Sus scrofa: one gene and its partner. The protein of the gene in region 1 purifies or fractionates together with the protein of each later gene. This does not show direct contact. Links are inferred from orthologs where the notes say so. Each region holds a gene or a part of one and is shown in the gene's direction. Other genes may lie near its edges.

Region 1 (4,366 bases):
TCTCAAAGGCTCTCCAGCTGTTATGCCCGCCTACTAAACGTTCCTCTTCCTCCTGCGCCATGGGCTGCGGATGCACGAAACCACACCTGTGCGAGCCTTCGCTCGGAAGGCACTGACTGGACGCCCGCGAGAGCCCTGCCTGTCCCCGGGGCCCTGCGGGGGAAGGCTCTCCCCTTCTCCTGGCTCTCGGCCCATTTTGTATCCTAAGGGGTACACTTCCTGGCAAGGCTCCCTTGCCTCCGTGGCCTGAGTCTCTGCAGTGCCTGGCACGGTTTGGGACCCACTGCACTCATTCTTTCTGCAAGTACAAACTGCGTGGTTCTATGCAGGCACCACCCGAGGTGTGGGGAGTCAGGGCCGAAGGCAGGCCTGCCCTCGTCCAGCAAGAACTGACTTTCGGTGGGTGGGTGGGGTACATTAAATAAATCAGTCCAGAGTGCTTAGTCAGGACCCGTGACGTGTCCCCGAGGTTACAGGTCCCCATGTGGTGGGGTGGTTGTCCCCCTGCCCAGGACAATGTCCTGAGGGAAGCCGTTTTTTTCCTTCTGGACACCCATCCTCCACCCTGATGCCAGGCCCAGTGTAGGGTCCCAGGTGCCAGGGCATGAACTCCTTCTGACCCTAACCCCCACCTCTACACCACCCCCACCGGGCAAACCCAGGGGTGCAGTGGCAGCCCCGTCCGGAGGGCGAGGAGGGCAGAAATGCAGTCTCCAGCGCCTCTCCCCTGACCTGCCAGGGCAGCCTGCCTCCCGTGCCGCTGTCCAGACCCAGCGACTTCGGCTTCAGGAGTCCTGGAATCCTCCCCACGCACATGGCTCCCCCACCCCCCACCGGGCCATCCCTGTCTGACAATGGCCCCGTGTTGCCCACAGGTGCCCTATGGGCACCGACCTGACCACATTCTCCTCCCACGTCACCCGTGCTGGGACTATTGCTCAGGAACCCGGGAACTCAGGGGGCGCTCCAGGTGTCCGTGGGCCCCGGGGACAGGCAGGGCTCCAGCAGGCATGCCGTCAATACTTTCCGAGTGAAGGCACGCGCCTTCCTCCTGGCGCGCTCCTCCTTCCCCTTCACTGCTATTCTAGGCGAAGTGGCTCAGAGGGGGTCTGAGTGCCTAAGCCCCACCCCGCCCTCCTGCCCGGGCAGGTCTGGTGGCTGCACCTGCTGACCCAGCGCTTTCCTCCCTGGCTTCCCTGGGGGCTTCTTGCCGACCTAGCCGTCGGGTGGGCGTGAGGGGAGGTGCGGGCAAAATCTCGGGCCCAGAAGGGACGGAGCGAGGAGCGCAGAGGGGGCGGACGGAGCAGGTGGGCACGGTGGGTCAAGCAAGAGAGACGGGAATGCAAACAGGTGGGCGCGGACCACGCGGGAGGGGCCCATCGCGGGGCGGGGGCTGAGGCGCCAGGTGCGCAAAAGTGGGTCGGGGGCGGGGCGTCCGGCCCGGGGCGGGGCTCGCCGGCCCCCGGGACCCGCCCGCGGCCACCACCCCCTCGCGGCCCCGCCCCCCACGCCCTGGCTGGGCGGGCAGCGGCGGGCCTGGCAGCCCCGGCCGCCTGCACAGCACCCGCCACTCCTGGCGCTGCCGCCCGGCCGGCCCCCGCGGGCCCTGCCTGGCCATGGCCGCGGCCACCTCCCCTCCCAGGGCCGAGAGGAAGCGCTGGGGCGGGGGCCGCCTGCCAGGCGCCCGGCGGGGCAGTGCGGGCCTGGCCAAGAAGTGCCCCTTCTCATTGGAGCTGGCCGAGGGCGGCCCGACGGGCGGCGCGCTCTACGCACCTATCGGCCCTCCCGGAGTCCCGGGGCCCTCGTCCCCCGCCGCGCCCGCCGCGTCCCCCGCCGCCGCCGACCTTGGCCCGCGGCCCCGCGTAAGCCTCGACCCACGCGTCTCCATCTACAGCGCGCGCCGCCCGCTGCTCGCTCGCACTCACATCCAGGGCCGCGTCTACAACTTCCTCGAACGCCCCACCGGCTGGAAGTGCTTCGTCTACCACTTTGCTGTGTGAGTATCGCTGCCAGCCCACACGAGGTTGGGGGGGGGGACGCTTTCCAGGGGGCTGGGGAGGGCGTGGGGGAGCTCTGTCCTCATGCCACCTGCTGCCGCCTGGACCTTGTCGGAGCTGCGACCCAGAGCAGAGGGCAGGGAAGGGAACGGTTAATGGGAGAACCAGACCCGCGCAGAGCCTGTCGCTGAAGTTCAGGGACATGTGGGACTGACCCTGTGGGGTGAGAGGCTCCCGCTGGCGCTGCCCAGGCATGTGTGTGTTTGGGGGGGGGGGCGGCAGCTGGGGAAGAGGGCCCGAGCCCAAAGCGGCCCGCTCCTCTGCCGCCTCTCCCTGGAGGGGCCATCCAGGTGTTGATCCTGAGACAAGGCGGGTGCAGGGGTGAAGAGGGGCTCTGGGAGGAAGAGGGGGAGGCTCCCATGCTTCTGCAGGTGCAGCTACACTTCAGAGCCTCCCCTGGTGTCCAGGCAGCCCTGGGGGGGCTCCTGGGCGGGAGCAGGGCCGCCCCAGAGGGTGGCAGGCCATGTGGTGTTGCCTGACGCTTCAGCATGGCCCCGCGTTAATCCAGCCAGGCTCGTGAAAACCCGGATTGGAGCAGAGAGGCCTGGGGCCCTGATCCTCTCAGTGAGTCGGTGGAGAAAGCGGGGCCTTATCGGCAACACCTGGCCCCGCTGTTCCCCAGGTGGTTTGGATTCCTGCTCTGGGCGCCCGAGCGGGCAGGGCAGGGCGCGGCGCGCCGTTTCTCAGGGACGGGGCACGAGGGGCCCTCCCCGCCCCTCCTTGGTGTGGGGCCAGTCTCTGGCCCGTGAGCCTGGGCTTGGCCATCGTCTGGGGGCTGCAGGGGGTGACCTTCTGGCTTCCTGTTGGGGGTGGCAGGTGCTTGCCTCGGCTTCCTTGGCTGTCCTGTGGCTGGGCGAGACGCGGCTGGGGGGTGTCCAGGGCCCTCTTGCGTCCCACTGGTAGCTGCCACTGGCACCCAGGGGAGCAGAGGGAGCCAGGCCCCTGCTGGATTTGGAGCATCACCTTGCCAGGTGCGGCCAGGTGGGGCAGCTCGGCCTCAGTTCCTCGCGTCTGCTCCTCTGAGCGCAGGTGGCACTGGGATTGCTGCTTTCCACAGCAGGAGGGCAGGTCTTGGGGACAGTGTCCTCAAGCCTCCTCTCTACTCCTCAGCCCCAGCTCCCTGGGGATCAGAGGGTGCCTCCCTTGGCCGTAGCTGGTCTGTGGGAGAGGCGGCCTTGCCTGTAGCTGTCGCGGCGGTGGCCTGGCTTGAGGCTTGGGGGCTGTCTGTGTGTATATCCCAGCTGGGTTGTGCCGGCCCTGTGAGCACCCAGCCAACAGCAGCCACGTGGGCTGCTGCCTCCCAGCCTTCACCCGCTGGACCCTGAGCTCCCCGAGGTGCCCAGGGGTAGGAGGAATGCCCAGCTGATGCGTCCTGGAGCAGACCCTGCGCAGCCATCTCTCTGTCCTACAGTCGTGTATGCCAGCTCTGGGCACTGACGGGGAGGCATGGCAGGGAATGGCCGGGCAGGGCAGCAGTGCCTTCCCTTCCCCCACCCGGGAGGGCTCCAAGGCCTGGGCTGCAGACAGCCCCCGGGTCCGAGTCCTGAGATGCAGGCCTGAGGGTGCACATGGCCCGGGCTCCCTGGCCGCCAAGGTGCCTGGAGGAGGAAGAGGGCCCGTCACAGGCCAGAGGAAGTCCCTGCTCACACTCGTGTTTTCTTCCTGATTCTGATTGTTTAGCTCTCGGAAGTTTGCTCAGCAGAGGCAGCCTTGCCCAGCCGCCCCAGGAGCTGTAGGGCAGGGTGCCTTCTGGGGACAGTGGCTGAGCGGCTTCCCCTGGGGGCGCTGGGAGAGGGAGGCCCCTGCGGCTGGCTTGGTGACCTTGGGCCAGTCCTTTCCAGCTCTGGCCCCCGCCTGTAAGAGGTATGTCCCAGCGCCCCGTGCAGGGAGGGGCTGCAGGTGGACCCTGGCTAGGCGGGGGGCCTGGCTTCCCTGGGGCCCGGGAAGGTGCCCTGTCACCCCAGGTGTCTCCAGGAGGTCAGCCAGGCCCCAGACACTCTCCAGATTGGCCGGTGTCTCGAGGGGACCTGGCCTCAAGCTGGGATCTCAGGGGCAGCTGGGGCTGAGTGGAGCAGCTTGGAGAAAAGGGCTCACGGTGCCCGTCCGCGCCCTGGTGTTGCTCTGAGAAGCGTCTACGACAGTGGCACAGAAAGATAGTGGCACCTCTGTCCTTGGTGAGGCAGATGGCGAAACGTGAGGGGTGATCGTAACGAGCCAGGCCGAGCTGGGTTTCCGGCCTGGGAAGGACGAGCCCGGCCTTGAAGGGCTGGGCCCGGTGGCTGTGGGGCCACTGTCCCGCGGGCCCTGCA
Region 2 (2,842 bases), on another chromosome or scaffold:
TGATCAAGTGTTAATTGGTATATATGCTGTGATTAGACATTGGGAAAGGCATTGACTAAAATTGGTAGTTTCCAGAATTATGAAAAAAAACTCTAAAGTTTGCATAAGGTGCATTTATATGTTTGCAACATTTATTGATGGCCTTGGCAACAGGCAGTGTGCTGGACATTCTTTTGATGACTTAGTATCTGCTTCGAATTTATTGAGGAGTTTTTTTCCTTTATACATGGCAAACTCAGACATATGAGGGATATAGATGAGGCAGAGTACCAGTGGTCTACCTTTTGAAGGCAAGGTGGAGCTCGACTGGCACATTGCTTGCATTGTTTTTGGATAGTTTGGATTCATGTTCGTATTTTTTATCTCATAGGTACCCAGGCACTCCAGCTGATTTAAATCCCAGTTCTTTAGCATGCTCTCAGCTTCAGAATTATGATCCTGACAGAGCCCTGACAGATTATATCACTCGGCTAGAGGCGCTACAGAGACGGCTTGGAACTGTACAGTCAGGTACCCTCAGCTTAACCAAGTACTGGCAGCACCATGGTGCTAGATAGACCCAGAACTCTTTCTTTTCTTGAAATTCCTTGACCTTCCTCATTAGGACAATCAAATCTTAAACTTGAGTATGAGTTACCAAGCTAGATTTAGGAATTTAAGCCAAAACTTGATTTATCACCCTGGATCCCACTCTCCTGCTTATCTCATTAAGACAATTGATTAGGTGAAGTACATGATGAGCATCTATGTACAAAGTACTCTGAGACACACAGAGTTTCTGCTGGAGAATTTGCTGCCAAGTGATACATGCTGAGGCATCCAAATAAGAGCTGGGGAGATGAGAGGAGGAAGCAAGTGCTTTTTATATGTGATCCAAGAAACCCATCCTATTCAAAGGACTGTGCAAGAATGACCTTTTATTGTCTCTGCTAAAAACAAAAAAAAACAGGAAAAGGGAGGGGGAAAGAAAACCACACAAAAATTTTTTTGTACTTAGTAAATGTGGAATCCCTTCCCTTTTTATTGTGGGAAAAAACCTCTCTTCTCTGTCTCTCAATTCACTCCTGATTCAATGGTCTTGAATCATTTTAATTTAATGAGCTTTAAGTCAGTTTATATGTATGTATGTGTATATGTATATTTTCCTTTTATTAAAGACCCTTTTTTCCTACTATTCCCACAAAATAGATAGGACTAATAGCCAGTTATTTTAAATTAGTAGTTTGCCTCTTCATATAAGAAATTGTCTAACCCAAGCAACTTATAGTTGTAGGAAGCAATTATCATAGCAGGACTTGGTTGGCCTGAGCATTTATATTTCACAAGACCCAGATTTTTAAGACCAAGAGGTATTTCAAGAGGCAAGAGGTATAGAACATTCAACCTGCAGGGCACTTTACAGAGAATCTTATCATTAATCTCACTTAGCATGCCCTGGAGCCAGCCACGGTGAGTTTTGAATATATGTTCAAGGTCTCCTATTGTGTAAGCCAGCTGCTACAGCTCTGATTCCACCCCTAGCCTAGGAATCTCCATATGCCCTAAAAAAAGACACACACAAAAAAGAGTCTCTTTTAAAAATCAGTTCAATTCTGAATAAGATTATTTTAGGCAGAAAAAAGTTTTTAAAAATGGTGCCTCCTTCTGCCCTTCATGGAGTCAGACGCGCTACCATTGCGCCACAAGGTCCCTCTTCTGCCCTTTATGAACTGGTTAGTCTGATTTAAGTCACAATCTCATTGAAATCACTGAAGTATCCTATTTCTATGTTACAGGTTCAACTCAGTTTCATGCTGGCATGAGAAGATAATCCTTTGAAACATGAATCAAAGTGATTTTAAACAAATTCCCTTTTGTAAATCAATGGTTCTTTTGTGCTTTTGTATTGTGGATATTCACCGGGACCAATACAAACACAGCTTATGATTGTATACAAATCCCTTGCCAGCACATGAAAACAAACTGGATTCTGTACATATAAGCATTGTGTATGTATTCATGCACAATAATCATCAAATTACATGTATATTTGTGGAATGCTAATTTAAATGATTAAATTATAAACCTTGTGTATTTATCAAATGGGTGAAAAGATTAAACTTTTGCGCATTATGATACTGTTGAATGTGTAGCTCGAGGTGTCCTGCACTTTTCTTATAAGGCTACTGAAGTTACATGTTACTGCCTAATATATTTGCTACTGGTGATAAAGACAGATAATATCACTTGTAGAGACCTATTTTTGTATAATGGTAGAAGTTTTGGATTTTATGGGGTATTTTGTCAAGTACTGAAATAAAAATGACTTCACCATTTTAACTACACTGTATTTGAACCTTTTTTTGTTTTCATTTTTTTGGTTTTTAGGGCCACACCCACAGCATATGTAAGTTCCCAGGCTAGGGGCTGAATCAGAGCTACAGCTGCTGGCCTGCACCACAGCCACAGCAACACCAGATCTGAGCTGCGTCTGCCACCTACACCACAGCTCATAGCAACGGCTGGATCCTTAACCCACTGAACAAGGTCAAGGATCAATCCCACATCCTCATGGATACTAGTCAGGTTTGTTTCCAGTGTGCCATAATGGAAACTCCTGAACCTTCATTTTTAAGCCACAGTTCATGGTGCATGTCTTATTAGTCTGTTCAGGTCACCATAACAAAATACCATAGCCCGGGTGGCTTACAAAAACAGCAGAGATTTCTCACTGTTTTGGAGGCTAGGGAAATCCAAAATCAAAACACAGCAAATTTGATGTCTGGAGAGAGCCTGCTTTCTGACTTCCTAACTGCCGTCTTCCTGCTCTGTCCTCACATGGCAGAGGGGCAGGGTGCTCTCC

What was found. The genes of interacting proteins can lie anywhere in the genome.
Region 2: the proteins of KCNQ1 (region 1) and AKAP9 purify together in Homo sapiens (affinity purification with western blotting; 3 studies listed by BioGRID and IntAct, with this or other methods). This does not show direct contact. The link is inferred for Sus scrofa from reciprocal best matches to the Homo sapiens genes KCNQ1 and AKAP9.

The regions. Positions count from the first base shown.
Region 1 is NC_010444.4:1,673,794-1,678,159, forward strand, and holds the start of KCNQ1 (potassium voltage-gated channel subfamily KQT member 1), read left to right. Parts: upstream 1-1,529; 5' UTR 1,530-1,616; coding exon 1,617-1,996; intron 1,997-4,366. UniProt on the Homo sapiens protein: Pore-forming subunit of the voltage-gated potassium (Kv) channel involved in the regulation of cardiomyocyte excitability and important in normal development and functions of myocardium, inner ear, stomach and colon.
Region 2 is NC_010451.4:72,052,577-72,055,418, forward strand, and holds the end of AKAP9 (A-kinase anchor protein 9), read left to right. Parts: intron 1-370; coding exon 371-510; coding exon of another isoform or gene 511-557; exon of another isoform or gene 558-1,775; coding exon 1,776-1,810; 3' UTR 1,811-2,322; downstream 2,323-2,842. UniProt on the Homo sapiens protein: Scaffolding protein that assembles several protein kinases and phosphatases on the centrosome and Golgi apparatus. Required to maintain the integrity of the Golgi apparatus. Required for microtubule nucleation at the cis-side of the Golgi apparatus.